Elephas maximus indicus: one gene and its partners. The protein of the gene in region 1 purifies or fractionates together with the protein of each later gene. This does not show direct contact. Links are inferred from orthologs where the notes say so. Each region holds a gene or a part of one and is shown in the gene's direction. Other genes may lie near its edges.

Region 1 (11,013 bases):
CCTTAGAAGCAAGGATGGCAACACATCGTCTCTCGTATTTTAGAGGGAGGGACCAGTGCTGGAGAAGGACATCATTGTTGGTAAGGTAGAAGGTCAGTGATAAAGAGGAAGACCTTCAATGAAATGGACTGACACAGTGGCTGCAACACGGGCTCAAATATAGCAATGATTGTGAGGATGGTACAGGACTGGGCAGTGTTTCTTTCTGTTATACATAGGGTTGCTATGAGTTGGAAGCCACTTGACAGCACCTAACAACAACATATTGGTTTAACTAGAAACGGTGATAGAAATATATTGAAAAGATAAGGAAAAGACAATGCGTGTGTTGGTTTAAATGGGGGACAGTGTATAGGAGCTATATATTCATTTAATAATAAAAAAAATTTTTTTTTTTTTAATCAAGGAGCAGCAGTAAAAGAACATTACTTAAAAACTTGGAGGTAAAAACCAGAAGAAACTGCTTAAAGAGTTAAAGCGGATGCCCTGGAGAACATAAATGGGGTTTGGAGTGGAGTGGAGCAAGACCCTCCATTTTTCATTGTTGCACTGTAATTTTTAAACTACAGATAAACATATATTATTCTGATAAAATATGAAAAGAATTTAAAGAATTAAACTATAGTATTAAATACAGTATAGGTGCGGTGTTTTTGTCTGACCTGGCAAATAATTTTATGTTGAAATACTACCTATAGAAGTATTTGAAAGATGGATCGAATATGTATGGGCATAAGGGAGAGAAATATTCCAGGGTGGGATCAGCACGAGTTTGAAAATAGCAAATTATAAGAAGGGGACAATGAAAATGCCAGGTGCCAGGAGTCTAAAAAATTATTTGTGAAACAGTGGGGAAGTCAGATTCTAGAAAGCCTTGGAATCCAAATGTTATGGACTATGTACCTCAAACACATTTATTGAAATCTTGGCCCATACACCTATAAATTGGGAGAAAGACATGGCAATCTGCTCCCATAAAGTTAACAGCCAAGAAAACCACATAGGGCAGTTCTATTCTGATATATGAGGTCTCTATGAGTCAGAATCAACTTAATGGCACCTAACAACAACAACAATATCTATAAATATGATCCTTTTCATAAATAGGCTTTTCTCTGTTGTATTAATTAGGCCACACCTAAGTAGGTTGAGCTCTAAATCTAATCACTTCTGAGTTATGAAGACACACAGATACATACAAGGGAAGACAGTGCCATGTGAGCATCCTTGGCTTGTAGAGGAACTGTGAGAAAATAAATTTCTGTTCTTTAAAGTCACCTACTTGTGGTATTTGTGTCACAGTAACATGAGGTAACTAAGATGCCAAGTAGAGGAACTTGAACTTGTTTGGGTAGGAAAAAAAGGAATTGGTGTAGGTTCTTGAATTAGAAAATGATGTAATAAAAGCAATGTTTTAGGAAATTTAATCTGAAAAATTCAGACGAAATAATGGCTGTGGGAGAGAATTGTTTAATCTTTTTCTCCATTTCATCTCTAACACCTATCTCAGTGCCTGGCTCATTGTAGGCGCTCAATCCATATTTATGATTATTTGAATGATCAAATGGAAAAGAGGCTGAGAGCTATTGTAATACCATAGGCATGAAGTAATGAAGCCCTAGACTAGGAAGGGGTAGTGGAAATGGAGAGGAATGGGTGTCTCTCATATACGCTTGAATAAAAGAAGTGCTATAGTTTCCTATTCTAAAAGACCTTTTAAAAATAGTCATTTCGCATGAAATTCTAAAACAAAATTTCCATAGTAATGTTATAAACAATGGTTATGTTTGTAGACCCCCTCCAACTAGTTAATTTATAATCAGTCTAAATATGGTCTGATATAAGTACAGAAGTAACATTTTATAGGATTATTTCCAAGACATAAATTTTAAGTTCCAAATTATAGGGTATTATTCTAGTTATCTATTGCCAGCTAACAAATTATCCAACGCTGGGCTGTTTAAACCAATAATCATTTTATTATATCTCATCATTTTATGGGTCAGGAATTTGGGCAGGCTTCAGCTGGGTGATTCTTCCACTTCAAGGGTGTCAATTGAGATCACTCAGTGATAGTCAGCTGTAGGTGTGTTGATCTGAACAATCTGAGATGGCTTCACTCGTATGTCTGGTGCCTGGGTGGAGATGGATGGAAGGCTGGGATCACCTGTGACTATCCACTGTAATGTTACTTGGTCTCAGCATGGTCTCAGGGTAGCTGGCCTTTTTATACAGCAGTCCAGAGCTCCTAGGAAGGGTGTTCCAAAAGACCAGGGTGAAAGCTGCAAGGCTTCTTCTCAGTTAATGTCAGATATCACACACTGTCATCCTTCTGCCACATTACACTGGTTACAAGTGAGTCATAGGGCCAGCCCAGATTCAAGGAGAGAGACTACACAAAGGTAAGCATGGTTCATTGGAGCACCATCTTTGGAGACTAAGTTCCATTGTGAAGATTTAATATTCTAAATCTGTGTAGGAGAAAGTACCACTCACATTTTTATAAGAAAAACTTACTGTTATGGATTGAATTGTGTTCCCCAAAAATACGTGTTGTAAATCTTAACCTCTGTGCCTGTGGTGGAGTCCTGATGGTGTACTGGTTAAGAGCTCAGCTGCTAACCAAAACGTTGGCAGTTCAAATCCACCACCCATTCCCTGGAAACCCCGTGGGACAGTTCTAGTCTGTCCTATAGGGTCGCTATGAGTCAGAATCGACTTGACAGCAATGGGTTTGGTTTTGATTTAATGCCTGTGGTAGGAGTCCTGGTGGCACAGTGGTTAAGCGCTCAGCTGCTAACCAAAAGGTTGTTGGTTCAAACTCACCAGCCACTCTGTAGGAGAAAGATGTGGCAGTCTGCTACTATAAAGATTTACAGCCTTGTAAACCCTATGGGCGGTTCTACTCTGTCCTGAGTCAGAATGACTTGATGGCAATTTGGTTATACCTGAGGTTCAAATTCCATTTGAGAATGGGTTGTCTTTGTTATGTCAATGACAGGAAAAGTGTAGGGTTGAATCAATCTGTTTTGAGATACAAAAGAGATTAAATAAGCAAGCAAGAGAAGCAGAGATGGGAGAAGAGAGCTGCCAAGCCACATGAAGATTGCCTAGGAGCAGAAGATCAGAAGAGACAAAGACCTTGCTCCAGAGCCAACAGAGAGAGAAAGAAATCCTTCCTTTAGAGCTGGCACCCTGAATTCAGATTTCTAACCTCCTGAACTGTGAGAAAATAAATTTGTTTGTTAAAGCTATCCATTTGTGGTATTTCTGTTATAGCAGCACTAGATAACTAAGACAGCAATGTTAATGAGTCTCAAATTATACTCTCAAGGAAATCTACTTCACTGCTAAAGAATAATGCAATATTTTCTACATTTGGGCAAAAAACTGGAATTAAGCAGTTTTTTAGTCATCTTTTGTTCCCTCAGCAAAATATTTCTTAAACCCCTATTGCTTTGTTCATTACTACTACGACAGGACAATTTTTGGAAATATACGTGGTTTTCACATAGCATGTTTCTCCTTCCTGGATCTGTGATGACAATCTTTGTGCTCCCTTGCCCAGAAGAAGTGTATTTTAGGTCTGAAAGCAGAAGGCTCTTGTAGACACTTCCCTTTCTGGATTTTGTTTTCAAAAATCCTGAGCTTCCAGAATCTTTTATGCAGGCGGAAGGGAAAAGAGTCGAAAGGCAACAGAAGTTGGCAGGTACCACATCAGCAAAGGTTCCCACAGCTTCACTCTTTGGCCCTTTCCCTCACCTTCTTTCCCTCTCCACACCCATAAAGTCTCTTAGGTCATCTCTTTGGAACCTCTAGCATTCCATGGAGTAGAGTTTGAAAATCACTCCTCTAGGTTAATCATTCCTGAGATCTTCTGAGTTGGGGAACAAAGAGGAACGGTAGAGTAGAAGTTGGAGAACTTCAGGTACAGACTACCATGCTTGTTTTCTGCATGTATGGGGGTAAAGGAAATGGAGCTACAGGTGACTGCAGCTTTTCCAGCCTGAGACTATGGATACCCATCATCGAAACTGGAGAGCTGAAGAGTTGGATTAAGTATTTACCTGAAGTGGAAGATATTTCATTTCATTTCTGGAATGCTAAATCTGAGATTATGGTACAGCATCCTAAACAAGGTGGCCTACAGGCAGCTGGAAGAGATGGGAACATCACACAGGTGAAAAGTCGGGATTGGAAATAAGAAATTCCAGCAATTGTTGAAGAAGTGAGCTCAGAGAGAAAAGAGCAGAGGGTTGAGGACAGAGCCTTCATGAGATCCCACTGCACAGGTCGAAAGCTGGTGGCCCACCTGCCACATCCAGACCACAGGTGTGTTTTACTTAGCTTACACATTTAAAAAAAATTTTTTTTAATTAATAGCCAATTTAACTTAATTTAAAATTTGAGAGTTTTCAAAGAATCTGGATTATAACTTTTCTTGAAAATAAGAAGACCTGACAGTGTTAGGGTCACATTCTCCCATGGCTTCAGTTGAGTAGCTGCTGCTCCCTTTAGATGCGGCAGCTACTGTCCAGTTTTACACAGTCCATTCTGGTCAATTTCACCCATTTAATAGCAGCAAGAAGATTAATAGTCAATGGGAACGAGTGAAGGCTTAGGTTTTGTTGTTGCTTGAAAGACGGGAGAGACTAAGCATATGTTTCCTTCCTCACTCCCTACCCTAGAGAGGCTGACAAAAAGAAGAAATCAAATATGCTAGAAGATAGGGACTGCTAGTGGGATCCAGGTGTTGAGTGATGTTAAAAGAGATTCAGAATATAGATGAAAAATTAATTTTAGGGAGGTAGAGAACTGTCTTCTTCTGAAATTAGAGGTAATAATGACAGTATATAGATATGATGAAGAAACCAGGATAAGAAAAACAGGACTGAAGCGGTGAGAAAGTAAAACTCTACTCTGTCATCCATCAGACCAGACTAACAGACAAGATAAAGCCAGCTGCAAAGTCATTAAGAAACAATACTTCTCGCATGGTGTCATGGAGTGAATTGTGACCACCAAACACATGTGCATGAATTTGGCTGGGCAATGATCCCCAATATTGTGTGATTGTCCACCATTTTGTCATCTGATGTGATTTTCCTATGCATTGTAAATCCTATCACTATAATGTTAATGAGATGGATTAGTGGTAGTTATATTGATGAGATCTACAAGACTAGATTGTGTCTTAAACCGATCTCTTTTGAGTTATAAAAGAGAGAAGCAAGCAGAGAGACAGGGGGACCTCATACCACCACGAAAGCAGTGCTGGAAGTAGAGCCCATCCTTTGGACCTGAGGTTCCTTCCAAGAGAAGCTCCTAGACCAAGGGAAGAGGACGTTCCTCTAGAGCTGAAAGAGAGAGAAAAGCTTCCCCTGGATGTGACACCCTGAATTTGGACTTATAGCCTACTGGACTCTGAGAGAATAAATTTTTGATGAAGCCATCCATTTGTGGTATTTCTGTTACAGCAGCACTAGATAACTAATACACACAGACAAGCTGTATTTGTGAAGTATCATAGCAGCTCCCTTATTTGAGGGATTACTGCTTTCTTACTGAGCTTTGTTTTCCAAAGTCACAGACTATCAGAAACTACTGTGTGAAATTATCCCAGTAAGAATGAAACATTCCACTCTTGCCTGGAGGATCTAAGACATAAAGAAACAGCTTTGATTTCCAATTCGTGTGCAGAGTTTCGGAGAAGGGATTTCTGAAGAAACATTCCACATCAAAACTTTCTAGTTTCCCAGGGAACAGGATCCTGGGTCCATTTTGTAGCCCAGGACTTATGTTGATACCTTGGCTCACATCACTGGTTCATTTAAATTTTACCTAAACTCCACACTTGCCCCCAGATTTTGTTTGGTGAGACAACTGATGATGGTTCTAAGAGCCAGCAAGGGAACAAACCTCAAGCTGTTGGATCACGGCTTAGTTTCTGGTGTTACAAGGATGATTGGGGGCATTGGACGTTTTCATAGTCCCATCCTTCATTTTACAAACAAAAATTGAGGACCAGAGAAAAGATTCCAAATTGTCATTATAGTTCTCTTTCCACAGCATCTCAAAGCCACTTCCACGTGAAAACCCTTCATGGTATCCATCTAAAAATAGGAGGTGAAGTCAACTGTGGAGTGGCTTTCCTTGGACATGTAATCCGCAAATTTATCCAAGCCTTTTGAGAACATTTTTACACTTTCAGCCCGCCCCAGGCCAGTCATTTCTCAGATGTTGGCGTTGAGGAGCTCCATGAATTTATTATCTGCTAAGGTGGGACCTCGGATTCACTGAGGGCCTTCTCACATGTTGCCGCAGCATTCCACATTTCTTCCGCAACCTTCTATATTCCCTAGGGCAAATTTCCTTCTTTCTTACTCCTGTCGTCCCAACCCACCGTCAGAATGGAGCAACGCCTTAAATCAGAAAGTAACATCTCACCCTTCCTTTTTCTGGCAAACCGCTCTAAAAAGATCAGCTAGTAAAGTTTTTCCCCAGACCAAAATGAAAGCGAATACTTCCTTTTCCGAATATAGTATTTTATTTAAACAAGCTACGACAGTAACAGGTCCCGTCTCCTGACAAAGAAAAGAAAGCTAGGCGCGTCTGCCTTGGCTCTGGGGAATTCCGCGGCCGGACGGTGCTGGGAAGCTGCCGCCTGGGCTCCAAAAGCACTTTTTGAAGACAGCATCCAATGAAACTTGAATTTGCAACCGGCGAGCGGAGAGCGATCCCAGGAGGCGGCCACACTGAAGAGGCGGTGGGGCGCGGGCGGGGATTGGGCCCGCCGCGCACGCGCGGTCCTTCGCTCGCACCGCCCATTCCCGGCTCCCCGCCGCCCCATCGCCGCGGCTGCGCCTTCGAGACTGGTCGGGCGGCAGCCCGCGAGCGGGCAGGGGTACAGCCGGGCGGCCAGACTGTTAGCCCGGTCTGCTCTTTCCCGAGAAGGGAGGAGAGGGCGACTTCCTTGGCCTCGAGAATCTTCTTAGCCTCGCAGCTGGCCCTGGCCGGCGAGGAAAAAAGTTAAGGAGCCCCGGGACACTTTACCGGTACCGCCGCCGTCATGGCTGCCATGATGGAGCGGAAGTGAGCCTCAGGGCGACGGCTGCCGGCGCCGGTACTTCGAGTCTCCGCTTGTCGGCCACCCTCAGCCGGGGAAGCGCTGCGCGGAAAACTGCTGATTCCCACCGTCCTCGCGACCCCCGCTCGCTGGCACTCCCGGCCAGACCCTCAGCTCGTGCACGCTTCCTTCAAGACTGAGCGGCGGGGAGTGGCTCCCGGCTTCTGGCCCCGCAGCGAGGAAGATGGCGGACCCGGCCGAGTGCAACATCAAAGTGATGTGTCGCTTCAGACCTCTCAATGAGTCTGAGGTGAACCGCGGCGATAAGTACGTCGCCAAGTTTCAGGGAGAAGACACAGTTATGATGGCGGTGAGTGACCCCCACCTTTACCCGCATCGTGCTCCATCGGGCCTGACTGGGCCTAGAGTTCAGTGAAGTGGCGGAGTGCAGGGTTGGGGGAGCAGTGGTGTTCCCAAGCCTCCCGGGCGGGGTTTGCCGGTTCAGATAACCCAGGGGAGGGAGGCTGCGCAGCTCCACGGGTTTTCTTGGATCGCCCCCACCCGGGTCTAAGGCGCCCGGCGACGGGAGGCGCCTCGTCTCAGCCTGGGATACACCCCTACCTGGGGCGGTGGAGGAATCGTCGGGGGAGCAAATTTAGTGCATATTTGTGTGTGTTTATGTTTGTGTGCATTTACTGTTGCCGATGCTGTTGGTGTTTTGGACAACCCCCAAATTTGCCATGCATGAAATAAGTAAGGTTAATTTAGAAGCTCACGGACTGTGAGACCAGCCCTAGCCCTAAAAAAAAAATGGTACCTTAAATAGTAAAGATGCTTGGTTTTATGGAAACCTACAACTGCATGTTAAACCGTGTACTATCTCCTGCGGGAGAAGAAAAACTACCAAACTATATATATTGTGTACCTGAACCGAAAATGTTCACCCACTCACCTTTTTGAATGATGACTTCATGTTAATAATTACAAACGGCGAGTCGAGGACTAAAAAGAACAGTGAGTTTTGACATCGGAGTGATGAATTTTTGTTTAATATTTTAGCTGGTCAGGTCCAGATCGGGTGAAATAAGTGCCCAGCAAGATCCAGAACCTCATCCTTAACGGATTTAATGGGATAATAGTCTAAGACGGTGTTATTTTTTGTATATCATTAAATATAATAGCAAACTTTTGTAAAAAAGTTGTCCAGTGAGGTAGATTTCTTATTTTATTGCTAGATTTGTACTTACGCAATTAAGAACTACCTTGAAGAAAAAAGGTTTTGAAGACCCCAGGCATGGTGAGATATTGCCCCTTTGTAGGATAAAGCATGGTAATTAGAGTTGGCTGATCCTTGTCAAGGAGCGCTGGTGGCGCACTGGTTAAGCGCTGAGCTGCTAACCGAAAGGTCGACGGTTCGAACACGCTGTTCGCTCTGAAGGAGAAAGATACGGCAGTCTGCTTCCGTAAAGATTTACAGCCAAGGAAACCCGATGGGGCAGTTCTACTCTGTCCTGTAGTCTATATGAGTCGGAATCGACGCCACAGCAGCGCGTTTGGATTTGGTTTGGATCATTGTCGAGGAAACCGGAATGTGAGGTTGATTCGTTGATGTCTTATCTGTCTTTATACCCCTGGCGTCGAAATATCGGAAAATGGCATTCTCAGTTCAAGGAAATTAAAAATGAATAGTAACATTGCATACAAAACAGTGAACTATGATTGAAAATTAAATTCACATTTCTTGGTGATGCTGTGGGGCAGAACTTTTTTCTACATTACTTTCTGCATTGCATTTCAGTACAAACGTTTGCTATGTTAATTTGCCATATTTGGGCAGCTTAATTTAGAAGTAGGGCAAAGAGGTCATAAGAGATGGGAATTGATGATGGAAAGCATTGACATATAAGATAGGACTGAAGTTCGTTAGGGCTTTGTGCAAATATTTCCAAATGAATGTTGTCTCTAGAAAATTAATGCCGTAGCTCCCAATTGCTATCAGTAGGATTTTGGTAGACAAGGCGTTGGGTCACTAACAACTGCCAACCACTACTGCGTGAAGACTGTCAGGCTGGTTCTTTATTAACAAGTCCCCAAGAAAAACTCTCGCTCTCATGACATCATAGGGAGGTCAAGTAGTCATCCTTTTTGTTTAGGATATTATATTTTACTAGAATCAGGGGAAGCCTGGATTGTTAGTTGGCAAACATGAGGCTACTCGTTTCTCTCAGAGCTTTGGTGATTACTCAGCTTCAACAGTGGTTGACACATCAAAGCTATTTTCTTTTCACATTGGTATTAAGGATGTCTTATTTCTCCGGATTTCGTATGTGTTTATGCAATATCTGTATCACTAAGATTCTTTTAAAATGCTAGCATTTAGTTAGCATTCATAAAATGTATTAAGATTAGAAGTCAACCTTCTCATGTGGCCCAAATATGACATATGAGGAGAGAGCTAAAGGAAAACAAGTAATTGCCACAGGAAGCATACATTTATTCTAGGTTTTTTTCCTTTGGAATAATTTACAATATATCTTTTTGTTTAAAAATTTCCTTAATAATGTAAATAGATTTAAATGACAGTATTAGACATGATGGATAGGAGTTGTGAATCAGTAATGAATAGTTGGCTTTTAGGTAAACTGGTAGGCATTTTAGTCTGGTGTAAATATGTATATATAAGCAAGAATACATTATAGCTGAGTAGCTTTAAAAAATTTAAGGCAGCATGTTCAGTTTATTATTTTTAGGAACCAATTTTTTGAGCATAGTAAGTGCATTATTTACTCCAAGGTCTCATATTTTTGTACAATTTCGAAATGAATTATTTTGCTTTCTAAAGGAGGTTAGGAATTTATAAGGGCAGCTTGGGGAAGTAGAATTAGAAAATCACTAGGTAAAATCATCTCTTGGGAATACTGGTCCTGATTTTGATTCAAAATAAAGAGTTTAGGAGGGAGTTGCTACAATGCAGCATTTAAAACTAAATTGCTTTACAGTAATTCTGTTTTTTTCCTGAGTTCCATTTCCAGTACTGTGACATTAAAAATGTTCCCTTTTACTCATGTAATCAGTGATTTTAATGTAATATAACCCCATGGCAGGCAAGCCTTGTAATTTATAGTGTTCCTCTGTGTATTCTGCAGCCTTTTATACACATTTATTTGTAATTAAGTCCTTAGTGAAGAGCTGTAAATATCACACATTAATGAAATAAATTATTTAATAAAAACCTTTAAATGATACAAATAGAATCTGTTTTCTTTTAAAAGGGAGTTTGGTCAGTTTTAGGAAAATAGTATAGGCAACACCAGTTTTTCTTTTTTTTTTTTTTAAAGCAAAGGTTTTTAAAATAAGAGAACTTGTTATCCACAAAAAAGGGAGGACAAGGGAAACCCCTTGTATAGTTTCAGTAAGCCTGCTGAAAACAGGGCAGGGCGGGGGAGGTCAGTAGAAAAAATTACTTTTGAACCTGTTTATGCATCCTAAAGGTAGAACATGCTTGTTTGCATCATTGAGTATCTGTGCTAATCAGTATTCATTGTGTGGTATACTGTAAAAAAAAAAATACTGTAAAGGCTGCCAAAAACAGACTGTTCTTTGAAATTAGAGAATTAAGCTAATTAGATCATCTTGTCCAGTTCCTTGCCTAAAGCAAAACACTGTTGTCCTTTTCAAGTGAATGATGATTTGGTGTTTGAACCTTCTGTTACCTTAACAGTGAAGATTGAAAGAAGAGAGGGTGCCTCTATTTATCACATACCTTTAAAATACTGGAATGTTAGCCTACAGTCATTGTTTAAGGAAAATCTAATATGGTATAATCCCATGTAATCTGAAAAATCCCACAGGAAGGCATATCCTTTCCAGAAGGGTGTCCTTCATAACCAAATTTGGTGTTCAGCTTGGTCTGTGCAGACTCAAACAGGAATTGCCTCATATAAGAA
Region 2 (10,326 bases), on another chromosome or scaffold:
TTAAATAGGTATACACACTCATACAGCCACAGACAGTCCCACCCATGGAACATCTCTGGAAGGCTATATTAGAAAGCAGTAATCATGTTTGCTTCTGGGGAGGATGCATAGGGATCGAGGTGAGACGAAGACTCTTCATGCACTATTCTTATATTGGAAATCCTGGTGACATAGTGGTTAACAGCTACGGCTGCTAACCAAAAGGTCGGCAGTTCGAATCCACCAGGGACTCTTGGAAACCTTAGGGTGCCATTCTACTCTGTCCTATAGGGTCCCTATGAGTTGAAATCGACTCGATGGCAACAGGTTTTGGGGTTTATTCTTATATTCTGTATTCTCTGTGAATACTTTTTTTCTGGGAGTGCGTTAATTTTTTACTTTATTTTGGTGAAAATAGGTACACCAAAACATTCACCAATACATTTACGATTCAGTTCAATTCAATGACGTGGATTGCATTTTTCATGTTGTGCCACCGTTCTCCCTATCCTTTTCCAAAATATTCAGCCACCCGTCTGGGGTCTTAAATGCTAACTAGCGGCCATCTAAGATGCATCAATTGGTCTCAACCCACCTGGATCAAAGGAGAATGAAGAACACCAAGGTCACACGATAACTATGAGCCCAAGAGACAGAAAGGGCCACATGAACCAGAGACTTACATCATCCTGAGACCAGAAGAACTAGTTGGTGCCCGGCCACAGCCGACGACTGCCCTGACAGGGAGCACAACAGAGAACCCCTGAGGGAGCAGGAGATCAGTGTGATGCAGACCCCAAATTCTCATAAAAAGACCAGACTTAAGTCTGACTGAGACTAGAAGAATCCTGGCGGTCATGGTCCCCAAACCTTCTGTTGGCCCAGGACAGGAACCATCCCCGAAGACAACTCATCAGACATGGAAGTGACTGGACAGTGGGTAGGAGAGAGATGCTGATGAAGAGTGAGCTAATGATATCAGGTGGACACTTGAGACAGTGTTGGCATCTCCTGTCTGGGGGGGGGATGGGAGGGTAGAGAGAGTTGGAAGCTGACAAACGAAAGGAGAGACTGGAAGGGCTGACTCATTAGGGGGAGAGTAAGTGGGAGTATGGAGTAAGGTGTATATAAACTTACATGTGACAGTCTGACTTGATTTGTAAACGTTCACTTGAAGCTCAATAAAAATTAAAAAAAAAAAAAAATTCAGCCACCATGAACATAAACTCAAAGCTCCCTAAACAAAAACTTCCGCTTTTCCCCTTCCTCCCACCCCTGGTAACCACTAATAATCTTTAGTTTCTATATATTCGCTTATCTCACGCAAGTGAGATCATAGAGTATCTGTCCTTTTTCGACTGACTTATTTCACTCAGCGTGATGTTTTCAGCGTTCACCTATGCCGTGGCATGCAGCAGGACTTGGCTTCTCTTTGTGGCTGCATGATATCCCATGGTGTGTGTATGTGCCGAATTTTGTTTCTCCATTCATCTGTGGATGGACATTTCGGTTATTTCCACCTGTTGGGTATTGTGAAAAGTGCCGCAATGAACATTGGTGTACAGGTTTCTGTTTGCGTTCCTGCCTTCACTTTTGAGTATATATTTAGGATTGCAATTGCTGGGTCATATGGTAATTCTATGTTCGAATTTTTGAGGAAACGCCAAACTGTTTTCCATGGTAGCCGCACCGTTTTACAGTCCCACCAGCAATGGATCAGGGTTAATTTTCAAATGAAAGGGGAAAAAAAATAGAGTTTTTAAAAAACTGTGGCCAAGAGATGAAAATAGAAAAGCCCCACCTCATCCATCCATTCTCCTGAGATGGCAAACTGAGGCCTGAAGGAATAACATGGGCTATTTATTGAGTGCCTTCTTGGTTGTGATCTTGGGCAAGCGATTTCTCCTCTCTGTGCTGCAGTTTTCTTTTCTTTGAATGGAACTGATAATTGTCCCCATCTCAGGGGGCAGCTGTCCGGGTTCGATGGCTCTGGTACTTCTTGGTTGTGTGACGTTGGACGTGTCACTTAACCTCTCTGTGCCTCTGTGGAGTGAGGATAGTCCTAGCACCTACCTGGTGGGTTTGGTGTGAGGATTAATGGAGTTCCTCTGAGTACAGGGCTTGGCACAGGGCCTGACTCCAGTAAGAACTCAGAAACACCAGCACTTGTTGGTGTGGTGCAAAGGTGCTTGGCGCAGGGCAGGCCTAGAGAAATGGTCACCTTAGCTCACACTTAGCTAATATAAAAAATGCTGGGTGGTGAGCATAACCATCCCCGTTTTACAAATGAGGAAAAGAGAGGTCAGAAAAAGGTCACAGCTTGCTTTAGGTCACATGAAAAGGAAATGGCAAGACCAGGATCTGAACTCAGGTCTACTTGACTCCGACTCCTTCCACCACCCACCTCCATTCTTATACATAGTGTATACCATGTACCACCCTGTCCTAAGCTTTTTTTTTTTTTTTTACTGTATTTTCCATGAAGGTTCATATAGCAGTTTAGGTTCCTGTTTAACAATTTCTACACAAATTGTTCAGGGACATTGATTATATTTCTTCGCAATGCGTGAATGGTCTCATGATTTCCATTCTGGTTGTTCTATTTCCATTAATCTAGTTTTCCTGCCCCCTTATGAAACCCCGGTGATGTAGTGGTTAAGTGCTATCGCTGCTAACCAAAAGGTCAGCAGTTCAAATCTACCAGGCGCTCCTTGGAAACTCTATGGGGCAGTTCTACGTTGACTGGGAATGGACTCGATGGCAAGGGTTTGTTTGTTTTTTAATGTTCTCATCTTTGTTTTAAAGTGATTGTTGACTGGTATCATGTTTTTTTTTTTTTTTTTTAAGGAGAATTTACGGGTGAAAATTTCATTATTTTCTGAGCCAGTTTGTTAATTTAGCTGCAAGGTGACCTCAGGGGTTAGTTTCAGTTCAAGGTTTGGAGTATCTCAGGGCAATAGTCTAAGAGAGTCTCAACCAGTTCAGTAGGTCTGTTTTTTTTTTTTTTTTTAGGAACTTGAGGCTGTGTTCCACATTTTTCTCCCATTCTGTCCCAAAACCAACCAAACCCATTGCTGTCGAGTAGATTCTGACTCATAGCAACACTGTAGGACTGAGCAGAACTGCCACACAGGGTTTCCAAGGAGCGCCTGGTGGATTTGAACTACTGACTTTTTGGTTAGCAGCTGTAGCACTTAACCACTATGCCACCAGGGTTTCCCCCATTCTAGCAGGGTCCACCTATTGTGGCTTTGACTAGGACATTTGGTGGTGGTAGCCGGGCACCGTCTAGTTCTGGTCTCAGAGTAGATGAGGCTGCGGTTTGTGTAGACTATTTTTCCTATAGACTAGTTTCTTCTTTAAGTCTTTGGTTTCCTTCTTCCTCTTTTGCTCCAGATGAGTAGAGACCAATAGTTGTATCTTAGATGGTGTCCTAGGCTTTTTGCAGAAATTACTCTCTAATCGTCACACCAGCCTGACAAACTAGGTTACAGATGGGGAACTTGAGGCCCAGAGAGGTTAGTTCCTGGCTCAGGGATCACACACCGATTGAATGGCAGAACTGGAATTTGGTGCCTGGCCTCCTGGCTCCTGTCCGGCTGCCCTGCCTCCTGGTAAGTCCGTGGCAGATTCAATGTTCTGAGGCCAAAACGATGAGGGAGGGGCTCAGCTGCCGCCTTCAACCCGGTTCCCTAGAATTGCCTGGAGGAATCAGAGAGGGTGCATTTGATTTTCTTTTCAATCATTCAGTCAACGCCCATTCTCTCCAGTTGCTTCTCTGTGCTCAGCCTGTGCTGGGTGATGCTGGGACACAGCGTGACTGCTACCTTGTCTTCCCCTCCTGGGGCTCACAGTCCACTCGCGGAAACCGACCTGTCCCCAGACTTTGCCGATCTGGAGTGGGTGGGGCTGGGAAGGGGGAGCCAGGAGGCTGCAGGAACCTTGAGGGGGCGCCTGACCTAGCCTGACTAGAGGAGAAGGTGAGGATTAGGGAGGACATCTGCCCTGGGACTCGGGGAACAGGGAGCAGGGGCGGGTTAACTGCAGCTGTGAGGGAGGAGGAGCCCTGATGGCGCAGTGGTTAAGAGCTCAGCTGCTAACCATAAAGGTCAGCGGTTCGAATCCACCAGCTGCTCCTTGGAAGCCCTACGGGGCAGCTCTACTCCGTCCTGTAGGGTCGCTGTGAGTAGACTCCACCACAACGGGTTTGGTTTTTTTGGTTTTGGTGAGGGAGGATGCAGGGCTGCGCTGGAGTCTAGGCCGGGTCCACAGGCCCGCAGCGCCCTCTGGTGGAAGCCTTGTCAAATGCAGTGATCAGCGTACTGCCGGAGTTTGAAAAAGCTTGCGTTGAACCAAGTTCTATGAGGTTTGAGTCTTGTGTGTCCAGCTTTGACCATTTTACGATTCTAGGACTTGGTCCTTCAGTCACTCAACGAATATTTATTGAGCGCCTACCATGAGCCAGGCTGTGTTCTAGTGCTAAAGACACAGTGCTGACAATACAGAGCCCTGCTCTCAAGACGTGCTAACCCACTAACCCACTGCCGTAAACCAGGACATGCTAGTGGGGAAAACGGAATCAAGAAGATAATATTATTCAGTCAATAGCTAACAACTACTAAGCGCTTCCTATGTTCCAGGCCCTGATAGAAGTACTGTTCATATACTAACTCATTCGATCCTTGCAATAACTCTTTGACAATGCCCATTTTACAGATTAGGAAACAGAGGCACAGAGACGTTAAATTACTTGCTCAAGGCCTGCACAGCCAGTAAGTATTGGAATCAGAATTTGAATCCAGAGCCCACATTCTTAGTCATCCCATAACCTTGCTTCTCTAATAATGTAATGTGGTATATATAAGGGAGCCTCTGGGTGGTGCAAAGGTTAAGCAAGAGCTGGACTTCTAGCCAAAAGGTTGGTGGTTCAAACCCACTAGGAGGCACCTTGGAAAACAGGCCTGGCAGTCTGTTTCTGAAAGGTCACAGCTGTGAAAACCCTATGGAGCAGTTTTACTCTGCACACCTGGGGTCTCCATGAGTCGGAATCAACTTGAGGGCAACTTACAACAACATGGTGTTGTCATGTGCGGTCCAGCTGATTCCTACTCACAGCAATCCCATGTGACACAGTAGAACAGCCCCTTAGGGTTTTCTTGGCTGTAATCTTTACATGAACAGATCCCCAGATTAAAATAATATAAATGAATGTAATATGCTATAATAACATAATAGAATTATGATATGTGATACCCACACCCATCGCTGTCGAGTCAATCCCGACTCATAGCGACCCTACAGGATAGAGTAGAACTGCCCCATAGGGTTTCCAAAGAGCGGCTGGTGGATTTGAACTGCCGATCTTTTGGTTAGCAGCCGAGTTCTTAACAACTAGGCCACTAGAGCTCCAATATGTGATACAACATATAATATAAAATCATTTTTAGCCCCTGAAATATTTTCTGAACAAAATCAAGCAGGGAAATGAGCTAGTATCTTGATGGAGGGTGTAATTTAGATGCGGTGGTCAGGGAAGTCCTCTCGGAGGAGGCAGCCTTTGGGAAGAGCCCTGATGACGACGAGATCTGTAGGAAGATCTGTAGGAAGAGAGACCAAGCTCTCGAGGTTGGCATAGCAAGAGGGCCATGGTTTTGGGATCCAAAGTTTCCAAGATTCCAAGTTTCCAGGACTCGAGCTCTGCCGCGACTCCGGTTTCCAGGCCACCAGGTGCTGGAATCATCCTTAGATTCGACGCACCTTAGAGGCCCTGGGCCGGGCAGCAGAGGTTCCTCGACTCCCGCCGCCAGGCCTCGGCCGGAGGCTTTCCGCGGCGAGGGGCGGGGCCGGCTCACCTGTGTGGGCGGGGCCCCTTGGCCGCCCCGCCCCCGGAGGCGCAGCCTGTGGCCCGAGACTCTGGGATCAGCTCCGAGCGGCCGGGCTGGGGGTGGTCGGGGAGCGGGGCGGCGTAGCTGGTGCCGGAGCCTCCGAGGTCAGGTAAGCCCCAGGGACCGGCCAGGGGTCCCAGGGGCCAGGTGATGGGGGCGGGGGCCGAGGGAGGAGCCTCGGGCCAGGAGTACCCCTGGGCCCGCTCACCTGGCCACCAGGAAGGGCCTTGGGGCCCCTGGGCGCCCCCTTTCCAGGCCGGGGTTCCCGGGGATCTGGGGGCCTCGCTGGGGCCGCGCCCCCTCTCCCGCGCGTAGGTAAACAGGAGCGAGGACGGGGCGGGGCCTGGGGGAGGGGGGAGGAAGGGGGCCCTTGTGACGGGCGCAGGGAGGGAGGGATCCCTGGGTGCGGGGTACGGGGTGCGGGGCTGGGCCGGCGGCCAGGGGTAAGCGTACGCGGTGGGGGGAGTATGATGGGAACCTCCTCCCTGCCTACCTGCGTGTATGCGTGCGTGTGTGTGTGTGTGTGTGAGGGATGGTGTGAGAGGCTCTGGTGTGTACGAGTGTGTGTGATGGTGTAAGGCTGTGGGTATGGATGTGAAAGGGTGCTGGTCTCTGTGTGTCACTCCGTGAGGGACCTAAGGGCCTGTGTGTGGGGCAGTGTCAGCGAGGTGAAAAAGTGAGCAAGCTTTTGACTGTGTGCACCTGTGAGTTGGATTGTTTGCAGGACTTTGTGTATGTGATTGCAAGGTTGTGTGACTGTGGCCAACTTTCTGCTTGTGGATGATGTGTGTGTGGGAGAGTTGGGCTGTTTCTGGGACTTTACGTCAGGACAAAAGATATGAGACTTAGGAGACCATTGGCAGCTAGTGGTTGTGTGTCCCTGCATGAAGCTGTGCGTATAATGGGGAGTCCAACTGTTTCTAGGCTTATGTGTGTGATCAAGAGCGTAGCTGTGGTTACCTTTCTGCCTGAGCCATGGTGTGTGCGTGTGTCCATAGGACTGCGTGAGTGATAACGTGCCTGCAGTTGACTCTGTGTGCCTCTGTGAGGGTGCATGTGGCTGTGTGACTGTGTCAGGGAGCTGGGATGTGTGCTGGGGAGGTGGGTGTGAGGCCACGACTTTAGAGAGGGACTGAGGGGGTTGACCGTGACTGGCTGAGCTGCTCTGACCAGGCGGGACGTGCAGTGAAAGCTTGCCTGTTATGGGGGGCTGGTTGAGTGTAGGAGAAGGGCGCTGGAGGAAGGGATGTCCGAGTGATGTGTGCCTGGGATTATCCCCCAGCCATTCTGTGGGATGACAGAGAAGAAGAGGGCGTGTGTGTCCGGGTCGATGTGTGAGGTGACTGTGGATCTCATCCTGTCACGACGTGCCTCTGCACAGGAGACTGTGCAGATGAAAGGGGTCCGCTGCTCTGGGAATGGAGGAGCCTGGGAGATGGTGTGTGTTAGGAGGCTGCCCGAGCCTTGTGTGACTGTGGGAGGGCTGGGTGGTCAGACTGGCTGAGGTGGCGTGTGACCTTGGGGGAGGTTGTGTCTGATGGCAAAATTGTGTGAATAATGGTTGTGGTTGTTGGGATGACTGTTGATGAGCTTGTGTGATTGTGAGTTCCACTATGGCTTGTGTGTGAGGTATGAGATTTTATATATATATATATACACACACACAGTAACACCTGTGAAAGATGGAGCCTGTGTCAGGCAGAAATCTGTCAGAGAAGGAAAACTAAAATATTTCCCACTAATAGAGAGCGATAGAGAAGCGGTAAGACGGCACCCTGTCAAAGGCAGAAAACTTACAAGACCTGGAAAAGCAGGGCAGTCCCACGGAGTTCCAGCTCTCACAGGTTTCACACACACACATCTCACACACACACACATACATATACACATATACATATGCATGTATGGAGCCTCTCGGTGGCTCAAATGGTTAAAGGCTCGGCTACTAGTTGAAAGACTGGTGGTTTGAGCCCACCCAGAAGCCCCTTGGAAGGCAGGCCTGGCGATTCGCTTCTGAAAGGTCACAGCCTGAAAACCCTATGAAGCGGTTTCTTCTCTGCACCCATGGGGTCGCCGTGAGTCAGAACTGACTTGATAATAACTAACAACAACAATATGTGTGTATATGAAAGGGGGAGAGAGAGACTGAGGTTAATGGCGATCAACAGTCGGTTGTACAGTCCACAGGATTCCATTCACGCCCTTTCTGTATGTATCTACCAACCAGTTGCAGGCAAGTCGATTCCGGCTCATGGAGACCCCATGTATGTCAGAGCAGAACTGTGCTCCATAGAATTTTCAGTGGCTGATTTTTTCTGAAAGCAAATCACCAGGCCTTTCTTCTGAGGCATCTCTGGGTGGACTCGAACTGCTAACCTTTGTTAGCAGCCAAGTGCACTAACCGTTTGCACCACCCAAGGACTCCTGTATGCGTCTAAGTGTGCTTGATCATGAGTGTGCTAAGAGGTGCTAAACCCCTGGGCTGCTCATGGTGGACACAGTGGCTTCAGTGAAGTGTACCTGAGAGGATGGGTGTGAAAATCGGGGAACTGCCTTCTCTGTGCAGCCACAGGTGTCTGCGCTGTGGGCACCGCTTCCGGCAGGGTAACTGAGTCTGGGAGGACTCCCTTGTGTTTGAAGCTCTCTGTGTGTGTCTGTGGGTATGCAGTGTGTAGGTGTGTGAGTGTGTGGCTGTCCAGGCAAGGACGTGAGGGAGCATTTGGGGAAGATGGTGACAGGTTCACAGTGACTCCTGGGAGGCGCTGCGGAGGTAGTGGGGAGTTGGCGGCTTGCAGGCTGTGTGAGCGTGCGGGAGTGTGTATGTCGTTGGGACAAGCAGAGAGATCAGGAGACGGTCTAAATCTGAGGGATTTGCTTATACTTTCTGAGGCGAGGGAGCTAAGGGGAGGAGAGAGTTAGTTTCCGTGTGGGTTGGCTGTTACTCCAGAGAGGAGAGTGTGCCTTTGTGTTGGGTTGTATTTCCAAGAGGGAAGTGTATGTGTTTTATTTCAGAGAGAATAGGTGCGTGTGTTAGTATGAGTTAGTGTGTTCTATCAGGTTATAGTTCTAAAATAACCTAAAAGGAAAATGTGTGTGTGTGTTGCATTGTATTTTTAAGAGGACTGTGCCTCGTGTGTATATGTGTGTGTGGTATTCAGTGGGGCAGGACGTGTCGAGTTGTATTTCTGAGGAGTGTGTGTGTGTTGTGTTGTGTTGAAAGAAGAGAAGAAAGTGTGTGTGTATTCAGTTGTATTTCTGAGAGACGTATGTGTGTATATTGTATTTGAAAGAAGGAAGTGTGCTTGTGCGTGTGTTGAGATGTATTTCTGAGAGAGGAGTGTGTGTGTGTGAGAGAGGGTCCCAGAAGCACCAGAAGTTAGGTACCTGTGACCTTGTCACCCATATATACCCACAGGAAGTCCCACATGTGGGACGCCCACTCATTACGACCTGGTCCTCAGACCCTCAGCTGTCACATGGCCAGTGTGACATCCACAAGTCACGCCTGACACCCGTGTGTCCCATCACGCCCTGAGCCAGCTGGGCCTGTGTGTGATGGAGGGCAGGGCCCCTGCTCCCTCAGGGACCCTCAGCTCCTCATGCCCCAGGAGCTGACATATGGGGCTCCCCACCATACCCCCAACCTAGCGTCTCCTCTGCTTCCAGCACCCTAACCTCATGGCCCTGTCCTCCTCACCCCAACCCCAGTTGTCTGACTGGTTCCCAACAAAAACTCAGTGAGAATGAGCTCATGGAGAGGCTGACGCCTCCACACGCCCCGCCCCACATGCCCAGGGACGAGTGAGCCTCCATCCTGGTCTTCCAGCCCTGATTCTGGGTTAGGGTCTCCTGGGTCCTTGGGGTGGGGAGGGCTGGCCAGGTCAGCTGAGGGCCGGCATGGGGTCCTTGAGACAGCTGCTTGCCCTCTCTTGGCTAGTTATACTTAGTGGGGTTTAGGGCGTTGTCCTCAGGGCAGGGCCCCAACACAGGTGGACTCGGATGTTCCCAAATAAGAGCTGTCCCGGATGGGGAGGGCGTGGCGGCAAGGGACTGGCTGGGATGAGCAGGGCATGGAGGCAGAGGGATAGCTGGGATGGGGAGAGGTTGGGCCAGGGAGGTTCTGCTGGTGGGATGGGCGTGGAGCTCGGGAGCTGGCCGGGATAGGCAGGTAGGGTGAGGAGGCAGGAGGCTGGCTGGGTTAGGGAGAGGACGTGATGGTGGGGGAAAGTCCTGCCGGTTGAGATGGGCGTGGAGGCAGGGGGCAGGCCAGGATGGGGGGAGGTTAGAGGCGGGGGGGTCCTGATGGCTGGGACAGGTGTGGAGACAGGGGGCCTTCCTGGCCTTGGCACTGACTCCCCAATCTCGGCAGCCCCAGGAGCAGCCATGTCAGTGGAGGTGGCGGTCCCCGGCGACATGGGGCTGGGCCCGGAGCGCCTGAATCCTGAAGAGCTGGTGCAGCAGA
Region 3 (10,332 bases), on another chromosome or scaffold:
ATGCCCACATAGTCTCATGTGTCTACTTGAGCCAAGAAGCTCACTTCTTACCAGTATCGTTTTCTGTCTTACATCCCAGTCCAATCCCTGTCTAAAGAGTTGGCTTTGGGAATGGTACCAGTCTTGGGCTAACAGAAGACCTGGGGACCATGACCTCCAGGGTCCTTCTAGTCTCAGACCATTAAGTCTGGTCTTTTCACAAGAATTTGAGTTCTGCACCCTACTGCTGTCCTGCTCCCTCAGGGGTTCTCTCTTGTGTTCCCCATCAGGGCAGTCATCAGTTGTAGCCGGGCACCATCTAGTTCTTCTGGTCTCAGGCTGATGTAGTCTCTGATTTATGTGGCTGTTTATGTCTTTTGGGCTCATAATTACCTTGTATCTTTGGTGTTCTTCATTCTCCTTTGCTCCAGGTGGGTTGAGACCAATTGATGCATCTTAGGTGGCTGCTTGCTAGTGTTTAAGACCCCAGACGCCACTCACCAAAGTGGGATGCAGAATGTTTTCTTAATAGATCTTATGCCAATTGACCTAGATGTCCCCTGAAACCATGGTCCCCAGATCCCTGGCCCTGTTACTCTAGCTTTCAAAGCATTCTGTTTATTCAGGAAACTTCTGTGCTTTTGGTTTGGAACTGTTGTGCTGAGCTCTCCTGTATTCTGTGTTGTCTTTCCCTTCATTTAAGATAGTTCTTGTCTACTATCTAATTAGTGAATATCCCTTTCCCGCCCTCCCTCCCCTACTCATAACCATCAAAAAAAATTTTCTTCTGAGTTTAAACTATTTCTTGAGTTCTTGTAATAGTGGTCTTAATGTGTTAAAACAAAAAAAAAAACCATTGCCGTCATGTTGATTCCGACTCATAGAGACCCTTTAGGACAGAGTAGAACCGCCCCATAGAGTTTCCAAGGAGCGCCTGGTGGATTCAAACTGCTGACCTTTTGGTTAGCAGCCGTAGCACTTAACCACTGTGCCACCAGAGTTTCCCTCAATGTATTAGCTATCTTTAAAAAATCACAGGAAAAAATCATCAGCAAAAGCTCAGGACAGGGGAGAAGAACCTGGGTGGACTGTACCTGGGATGTCAGTGCCTAGGGTTTTACACACGCTTAACCTGAGCAGACATGGCTGCACTGGAAGACAGGTGTGCTCACTCAGGGAGGCCCACGTCCCACCTTGAACTGTGCAGTTCACACCTGGTCTGGATCACTGGGCCTGGGCTGAACACCACATTCCAAGAGTGAGTCTGACATGCTAAACTACCCTAGAAAAGATAAACCGGGGTGGGGAAGGGTCAGGAAACTGCATAGGAGTGGGTGAAGGAATCGGGTCATCAGGCCAAACAGAAGGGAAACTGGGTGAGGTATCACCACTGTCTCCAAATACCTTTGTTGGCAGAAGGGAGGCAGACTGTTCTTCCTGAAGATAGAGTTGAGGCAGGAGTGAGCCCTTGTCTTAGTTATCTGGTACTGCTATAACAGAAATACCACAGGTGGGTGACTTTCACAAAGAAAAAATTATTCTCTCACAGTCTAAAAAAAAACTAGGAAGCAAGAATTCTGAATTCAGGGTACCCGCTCCAGGGGAAGACTTTCTTTCTCTGTCAGCTCTGGGGGAAGGTCCGTGTCATCAATCTTCCCTGGTCTAGAGGCTTCTCAGCAAAAGGACCTCGAGTCCAAAGGATGCACTCCCCTCTTGGTTCTTCATTCTCAGTAACATAAGGTCCCCCTATCTCTCTGCTCACTTCACTTTTTTATATCTCAAAAGAGATTGACTGAAGATACGACCTAATCTTGTAGATTGAGTCCTGCCTCATTAACATAACTGACTCTAGTCCTGCCTCATTAACATAACTGACTCTAATCCTGCCTCATTAATCTCATAAAAACAGGATTTACAACACATAAGAAAATCACAACAGATGACAAAATGGTGGACAATGACACAATACTGGGAATCATGGCCTAGCCAAGTTGACACACATTTTTGAGGGACACGGTTCAATCCATGACAGCCTTGTTGTTGTTTGTTGTTATGCTCGAACCTATTGTTGTAGCCACTGTATCAGTCCATCTCTTTGAGAGTCTTCCTCTTTTTCGATGACCCTTTACTCTTTACCAAGCATGATGTCCTTCTTCAGGGACTAGTCCATCCTGATAACTCACCCAAAGTATGTGAGGCGAAGTCTTGCCATCCTTGCTTCTAAGGAGCATTTTGGGTATGCTTTTTCCAAGACAGATTTGTTCATTCTTTTGGCAGTCCATGGTATATTCAATATTCTTCGCCAACACCATAATTCAGAGGCATTGATTCTTCTTCGGTCATCATTATTCATTGTTCAGGTTTGCATGCATATGAAGTGATTGAAAACACCATGGCTTGGGTCAGGCCCACCCTAGTCTTCAAGATGACATCTTTGCTTTTTAACACTAAAGTGATCTTTTGCAGCAGATTTGCTCAATGCATTGTGTCATTTCATTTCCAGACTGCTACTTCCATGGGTGTTGATTGTGGATCCAAGTAAAATGAAATCCTTGACAGCTTCAGTCTTTTCTCCGTTTATCATGATGTTGCTTATTGGTCCAGTTGTGAGGATTTTTGTTTTCTTTATGTCAAGGTGTAATCCATACTGAAGGCTGTAGTCTTTGATCTTCATTAGTAAGTGCTTCAAGTCCTCTTCACTTTCAGCAAGCAAGGTTGTCATCTTCATAACACAGGTTGTTAATGAGTCTTCCTCAAATCCTGATGCCTCATTCTTCTTCATATAGTCCAGCTTCTCATATTATTTGCTCAGCATAAAGATTGAATAGGTATGGTGAAAGGATACAATCCTGACACACACCTTTCCTGACTTTAAACCATGCAGTATCCCCTTGTTCTGTCCAGACTACTGCCTTTTGATCTGTGTACAGGCTCCTCATAAGCACAATTAAATGTTCTGACTGCCCTGTAAAAAAAAAAATAATAATAACTGTTGCCGTCGAGTCGATTTCAAGTCACAGAGACCCTATAGGACAGGGTAGAACTACCGCATACGGTTTCCAAGGAGCACCTGGTGGATTCAAACTGCCCACCTTTTGGTTAACAGCCATAGGTCTTAACCACTATACCACCAGGGTTTCCGACAGCCCTGTAGGTAGGTACTTTTAGGTTTATCTTAGGAAAAACTTCCTGACATGTAGAGTTATCTCACAGCAGAATGGAGTGAGCTTCCTGTCACAGAATGTACTCAAGCTAAGGGTGCTGGACCATCTTGCAGTCAGAGATGATGCCAAAGGGATGCTTGCCCCCACCAGGATGCTGAGCCTGGTGAATCCTGAGTCTGAACGCCCCCTGCCTCAGGAGGCATGCCCCAGATCCCTGCACAGCTTTTGTCCCCAGGGTGGTCAGCACACTGTCACCCCTAAGGGCTAGTGACCTAGAAGCAGTGGGTACAGCACCAGGCTGGCCTCTGACCTAGGGCTGCAGAGCCGCAGACCAGAAGGCAGGGCCAGGGTGGGACCTAGCGAGACCATCAGGCATCCTATGTCTTTTTTTAAATATAATTCAGTAATCATTTATTCAATACTTGCTTTGTACAAGATGCTGTCTAAAACAAGTTGATGGGAGTTTTTCTTTTTATTGCGGTAAATATATGTGTAAGCATTTGCCATTTCAACATTCTTCGTGTGTACGATTCAGTGACATTAGTTCTTTGTCTTATTGTTCAGCCATTACCATTATCCATTTCCAAATTTTCCCATCACCCTTAACAGAAGCTCAGTGTCCCCCCCTTTTTCCCCTCCCTGCCACCCGTCCCTGGTAATCACTAATAAACTTTGGTCTCTATGCACTTGCCGATCCTAGATATTTCATGTAAGTGGGATCAGACAGTAACCCTCTGTGACTGACTGATTTCACTCAGCATAACGTTTTCACCTCTGATTTTTTTAAACCAACATTTACTGAGCTATGTGCGTGCCAGAAGCTGCTCTAAGAGAACAAAATGGGCAGGTCCTAGCCTGCATTCCAGGGGGAGACAGCAAATCAAGGAAAAACGCTAGAGAGATAAATGCTAATCAGAGAAATCAGGGAGTGCTGGAGAGGGGCTGGAGGGCTGCTCTAGATGGGGGAGGGGAATCAAGGAAGGACTCTGAGGAGGTGACATTTGATCTGAGCCCCTAAAGACCCTGGTGGTGCAGTGGTTAAGAGCTATGGCTGCTAACCAAAAGGTCAGCAGTTTGAATTCACCAGCCACTTCTTGGAAACCCTATGCGGCAGTTCTCCTTTGCCCTATAGGGTCACTATGAGTCAACTATGAGTCGGAATCGACTCAGCATCAACGGATTTGGTTTTTGGAATGACGTCACAGACCAAGGATGCTCCAACTTGTCCTGATCGTCACTCACAAGGCCAGGAGTCTTTGTCGATGCCCAGCTTCCCCTTGCCACCTCTCCCTTCTGGCCAGATGCCTCTGTCCCTTCCTCCCTAAAAAGCAGCCCTAAGATGCCATGAATCCCCTACAGGGCCAAGGACACCTGTGAAGGGGTGGGGCATAACCACCATCTGGGAGATGGGGTTAAGACCAAAGGTCTGGGTCTGGAGACAAGCCTGGGTACAAATCTGTGAAAACAGCCTTTGTGGCAGAATGGTTGACGGTTCAGACCCACCCAGTGGCTCATTGGGAGAAAGACCTGACAAAATGCTCTCCCAAAGATTACAGCTTTGAAGATGGGTCAGTTCTACTGTCACCTGGGGTCTCCGCGGCCCCCAACAACAGATCTGTGAGAGGCGGGTCTTTGTGAGCATTAAGTCCGTTAAGGTACTGAAGGCACCAAAGCGCCCGACACGCAGTAAAACCCGTTGCAGTAGATACCGACTCATAGCGACCCTATAGGACGGAGTAGAACTGCCCCCATAGGGTTTCCAAGGAGGGCCTGGTGGATTCGAACTGTGGACTTTTCGGTTAGCAGCCGAGCTTTTAACCATTCCGCCACCAGGGTTTCCCAAAACACAGTAGGCACTCAATAAATGGCAACAACTATCGTAATTTTTAGTCCCAGTCTCGCTCCTGATTCCGAGGTCGCCCGGCCGAGCCTCCCTGGGCCTCAGTTTCTCCCGTCGCCTCTCTGCCCGCTGCACTGGCTGCGATCGTGTCACGATCTCCCGAGCCGTTCTACACCCCTGGTGGCCGAAGGCCTCGGGGCTTTGACTGCCGAGAAGTCCGGGCTGCGAGAGCGTGGGAAGCTGCCGCTGGGAACCTGCACCCCGGGGCAGCCCCGCCCCGCCCCGCCCCGCCCCGCCGCCTCGGTGGCCACGCCCCCCCGGGGCCGGTCGGCCGGAGCTGTTCCTTTAAGGCAGCCACCGGGCAGAGAGGAGCGCGCTTCGCCTCCTCCGACGCCGCTGAGGTAGCGGCTTCACCTTTAAGGCGGCGCGGGGACTGCTGGGAAGGCCGACGGGATGGAGGCGGTGGGACCGGCTCACGGTTGCGGGTCCCGGTGAAGCGGGGTGGGATCCGGAGCCGGAGCCGGGCCAAGCGGGAGGCTCAGGTCGGCGCGGCCTGATAGGGCCGGGCGGGGGTCAGGCCTAGAGGGGCGGCCTGGAGAGGGGGCGTCGTGGGCGCGGCAGGGAGCGCCTGGCGGAGGGGTCGCGGCCGGTGGGGCAGGGGCGCGGCCTTTCCGGGGGCGGGTTGGCATGGCCACCCCGGTCTTGAGGCAGGAGATGTCGTGGGCGCGGCCTGGAGAGATGGGGGACCACCAGGTCTCGGCCCTCCCCAGGAGGGTCTCCGTGGGGTCGGCCTGTCCCGGAGGAGGGCTCCGTGGCTCTGCCGGCATGCTGGGAAGGGGGCTGCCCGGGGGGCTGGGACCGGGCTCTCCCGACCGGGGGTGAGCCCCCACGACCTGCGTAGCACCATCCCCTGGCGCGCCCTGCCTTAGAGAAAGGAATCCCCAGGGAAGCCCCGAGACCAAGCAGCCCATGCCGGCCTGAGCTGGTGGTCTGGGGCCGAATTCAGGTCTGGCCTCACGCCGCACCGCATTGCGTCTCCGGGGCGAGATGAGCCGGGCGCGCCCCCTGTAGGCCGAGCGTGGGCACGGTGCGGGCTGCCGGCCGGAGGACTGGGGCACCTGGGGGACTCAGGCGTTTGGGGACCGCCGGTGTTTACCTAATCCGGGGCGGTCGGCGGTGTGGCCCCAGGCCCGGCGCCCGCCTGCCGCCCTCTCCCTTTCGCAGGCGGCGCGGCCATGGCCACGGCCACGATGGTGCTTCCACGGGAGGAGAAGCTGAGCCAGGACGAGATTGTGCTGGGCACCAAGGCCGTTATCCAGGGGCTGGAGACTCTGCGCGGGGAGCATCGTGCCCTGCTCGCCCCCCTAGTCGCGCACGAGGCCGGTGAGACCGAGCCGGGCTCTCAGGAGCGCTGTGTCCTCCTGCGTCGCTCTTTGGAAGCCATAGAGCTGGGGCTGGGGGAGGCCCAGGTAGGCTGCCTGGGGCACTGAGATGGGAGGGGACAGGAGGAGTGGAGCCTTCCATATAATCCTGGCATCGGAGAAGCAGAATCTGTGCAGGGAACCATCTGTCCCTGGCCCAACTTGGGTTAAAACCAAAAAAAAAAAAAAAAACCATTGCTGTGCAGTTGATTCCGACTCATACCGATCCTATAGGATGGAATAGAACTGCTATCCCAGTAAATATCTGTTTCAATGAATGCTCTTTGGGGACCCCAGCCCTGCCCTGCCCCAGGAGTCCCTGATCAGCTTCCACCCAGCACACTGTTCCTGGCTCCCTGCTACCTAGCAGAGATTGGCTGACATAGATGAGCAGAAAGGAAGTCTTTAAGGAAACATGCCCCCAAATTCTTCATTCTTTTATTTATTCATTCGCAGATAAGTTATCAAGTGCCCACTATGTGCCAGGCACTGTTGGGTGCCAGGGATACAGGATCCAACAAGATGCCTGGCCTAGTCCAATAGGAAGAAAGACAGAAACATACATTCACAAATAATTGTTACAAAGTGTGGTGAATTCTAGGAAGAAAAGCAGAAACATATATTCATAAATAATTGTTACAAAGTGTGGTGAATTCTAGAAAGAAAAGAACAAGATCCTGTGGTAACTTATAGTAGGGTTCCTGTTTATTGGTCAGGCAAGTCTTCTCTGAGGAAATGACATTTAAACCAAGGCCTGAAGGAAGGATGAACCAGCCTCCAGAAAAGGGAGGAAGGGGAGAAGTTGCACGTGCAAAGGTCCTGAGGGAGGAAAGATCTCATGGTGATGCAGGATTCTCAGGAAATGGAGAAGCCTTTGGAGGGCTTTACGGGGGCAAGGACCATAGTCTAACTTAGGTTTTGAAAACTCCCTCTGGATGAGGTATACAGAATGAATTACAGTGGGCCCCATAGTTGGCCCAAAGTGGAAGCAAGCGGTTAGGAAGCCACTACTGGAATTTAAGTGAGAGATGGTGGCTTGGACTAATGGGGTGGCCATGGAGGTGGAGAGAAAGGGCTAGGTTCTAGATGCTTTTGAGGTAGGCCCGAGGGGACTCTGAGGATCAAGTGAAGGAGACAGGAGGCAGGGCAACTCCCAGGCTTGTGGTTTGAGTAAGTTAAGGGGCCACCAGAGCCTGGGGATGGGTCAGGAGTTCTGTTTGGCCTTGAGTTGGGGCTGCCAGGATGACAGGCAGGTGGACGTGTCCACGGGCACTGGGGCATGCCAGGAGTTAAGCTCTGGGGAAAAAAAATTTTTTTCTCCGAGCCCCTGGCTGGCTCTGGGAATCCTGGGCAGGTTGTATTATCTTGATTTTCTTGTCTTTAAAATAGGAGTTACTCCATCTGCTGTACGCACTTCCAGGCTGTTCAGAGAATGTTTTTAAAAGCTAGCGGTTGTAAAAACACCTGTCATTAGGCATTTGCCAACCAACTAGAAAATGTAGGGCCCAGACTGCCTGGCCCTCTGGAAGGCATGTTTGTGCCTAGGCCTCAGCCACTTGATTCTTGGGTGCAAGATGGACACACGGGCCCCACCCCAGGGTGCACAGACACAGATGGGGAACAGGGTGGTAGAGGGTGCCGGAAGCCCAGTATGAGATGGAACAGAGGGGAAGGAGCCTGGAAGGCTGAGTGGGGTTTCAGCAGAGGCGAAAGGAGGGAGGGCATTTTAAGCAGAGGGAAGAACCTATCCCACGACCCCCCAGTAGGAAGAGCCTGGAAGCTCAGGAAAGGGGAGAGGGGTAGGGCCTCAGTCGGAGGCCCTGGATCTCCTTACCTGCCGCTGTGGTTGCACAGACCATCTGGAGCTTCAGGGTTCCCACCTTTCCCTCCCTGGGAGCTTCAGAAGGACAGGGGTACCCTGACCCTTGGGCAGAGCTCAGGATGGGGTCTTTCAGCCGGGGCTCTGGAGCAAGGTTGCAGGAGAAGGCTTTTAGTTGCCCACTCTGGGTGAGAATGGACAGTGGGAATGGCAGAGTAGAGGCTGTGGCTGCAGGGGCCTGAGTATCACCCCCAGGAGAGATGAAGAACAGTTCGCTAGCCTGTGGAGAGCACAGCACCCAGCTAGCCCTCTTCCTGCTCAGAACACCCTGTCAAGGGGGGCAGTGCACCATCAATGCAGATGCCAAGCTGAGACCCAGGAAAGGGGTGGACTTGGTCAGGGTCCAGCAGGGCCAGACTGGGAGCCCAGGGCTCCCTACTCCAGAAAGGAGTCTGGGGAGCCCAGGCCTCCTGGGCTCAGGCCTTGGACTGGTCTGTTAGGGGCCTTGGGGGAAGTGTCCTAGCCAGGCCTGGCTCTTCCTGGGGTCCGAGAGCTCCAGCAGGCCCAGGCTGGAGGCCCCCGCTGTGAGGTGGACAGGGCTCTGATCCTCATCCCACTGGCCGCCACAGGTGATCCTGGCACTGTCAAGCCACCTGGGGGCTGTAGAGTCGGAGAAGCAGAAACTGCGGGCTCAGGTGCGGCGCCTGGTGCAGGAGAACCAATGGCTGCGCGAGGAGCTGGCGGGGACGCAGCAGAAGCTGCAGCGCAGCGAGCAGGCTGTGGCCCAGCTTGAGGAGGAGAAGCAGCACCTGCAGTTCATGAGCCAAATCCGCAAGTTGGATGAGGACACCTCCCCCAGCGTGAGCCAGGTCAGCTGCCAGCTGCACTGGGCAAGGGGCCTGGGGGCAGGGAGGGGTGGCCCACTGACCCCCAACTTCCTCCCTGACACCAGGCCTGTCTTCCCTCCAGGAGGAGAAGGGGGATGTCCCCAAAGACTCTCTGGATGACCTGTTTCCCAATGAGGACGAGCAGGGCCCAGGTGCTGACGGGCAGTTGGTTCTGGAGTAGGAGGGTGGGAAGCCGTATGAATTCCTGGTCCTGGGACCCCAGGGGTTCCAGGAAATGGGGGCCGAGTGGCCACCATGCTCTTTCCTGCCTCATTTCTGACCCCAACACCCTGCCTGTGAGATCTTAAGAGGCCGGTTCTTCCATGTTGCCTTCCCGCCCCCACCCCCCCCCAGCTTTCTGAGGGGGCAGTTAAGAGTTCTGGAGCAGCTGGGCCTGTTGCAAGTTGCTGTGACCACTGGTAGTTTCTTCTCCTCCCCGAGGCGCCCCCACCCCGGGCGGCTGCAGATCACCCTGAGGGCGAAGGAGGAGGAGCCGCATGCGCAGTGCCGGGCTGGGGCCAGCTTGCCTTGCCTGAACTATTGAGCACCTACCCGAGCCTTCATTCTGCAGATGAGGAGGCTGGGCTCAGAGGTTAGATGATTTGCTCTAGGACACACAGCTTGACGTATGGAGCAGGGACTCCAAACTCGCTCATTCTGTGGCCTCCCTGCAGGTGGGCAGGCTTGGGGTGACGACTCCTCTACAGATGGGGAAATCGAGCCAGAGCGGTTAGTGACTTGCCCAGAGCCACCTGGGCTGGCCCAGCCCCATCAGTAGATGGTACATCTGACTTCTTGCCCTTGGCCCTGCAGCCCCCAGCCCTGGCGGAGGGGATGTGGCCGCCCAGCATGGAGGCTATGAAATCCCGGCCCGGCTCCGCACCCTGCACAACCTGGTGATCCAGTACGCGTCGCAGGGCCGCTATGAGGTGGCCGTGCCACTCTGTAAGCAGGCACTCGAGGACCTAGAAAAGACGTCGGGCCATGACCACCCCGATGTGGCCACCATGCTGAACATCCTGGCACTGGTGTATCGGTGAGTCACAAACCCTCAGAGCTTGCTACCGGCCAGGGCTTGGGCCTTGCTGGGAGGCGACAGAAACTTATACTTGGAGGGCCAAGCCACAGGAAGTCTCCAGACATGAATAGCTCAGTCTAGTGGAGGAGTAAGACTTGGATATAACCAAGGGGGCAGCCCATGAGGACTCGGGGGTACCGGGAT

What was found.
Region 2: the proteins of KIF5B (region 1) and KLC3 purify together in Homo sapiens (affinity purification with mass spectrometry; 3 studies listed by BioGRID and IntAct, with this or other methods). This does not show direct contact. The link is inferred for Elephas maximus indicus from reciprocal best matches to the Homo sapiens genes KIF5B and KLC3.
Region 3: the proteins of KIF5B (region 1) and KLC2 fractionate together in Homo sapiens (co-fractionation; 7 studies listed by BioGRID and IntAct, with this or other methods). This does not show direct contact. The link is inferred for Elephas maximus indicus from reciprocal best matches to the Homo sapiens genes KIF5B and KLC2.

Annotation. Positions count from the first base shown.
Region 1 is NC_064822.1:22,777,387-22,788,399, forward strand, and holds the start of KIF5B (kinesin-1 heavy chain), read left to right. Parts: upstream 1-6,865; 5' UTR 6,866-7,310; coding exon 7,311-7,436; intron 7,437-11,013. UniProt on the Homo sapiens protein: Microtubule-dependent motor required for normal distribution of mitochondria and lysosomes. Can induce formation of neurite-like membrane protrusions in non-neuronal cells in a ZFYVE27-dependent manner.
Region 2 is NC_064829.1:104,372,368-104,382,693, reverse strand, and holds the start of KLC3 (kinesin light chain 3), read left to right. Parts: upstream 1-5,859; 5' UTR 5,860-5,973; intron 5,974-10,233; 5' UTR 10,234-10,247; coding exon 10,248-10,326. UniProt on the Homo sapiens protein: Kinesin is a microtubule-associated force-producing protein that may play a role in organelle transport. Plays a role during spermiogenesis in the development of the sperm tail midpiece and in the normal function of spermatozoa.
Region 3 is NC_064825.1:129,407,053-129,417,384, forward strand, and holds the start of KLC2 (kinesin light chain 2), read left to right. Parts: upstream 1-5,322; 5' UTR 5,323-5,384; intron 5,385-5,391; exon of another isoform or gene 5,392-5,525; intron 5,526-6,171; 5' UTR 6,172-6,218; coding exon 6,219-6,452; intron 6,453-8,852; coding exon 8,853-9,092; intron 9,093-9,192; coding exon 9,193-9,262; intron 9,263-9,923; coding exon 9,924-10,146; intron 10,147-10,332. UniProt on the Homo sapiens protein: Kinesin is a microtubule-associated force-producing protein that plays a role in organelle transport. The light chain functions in coupling of cargo to the heavy chain or in the modulation of its ATPase activity.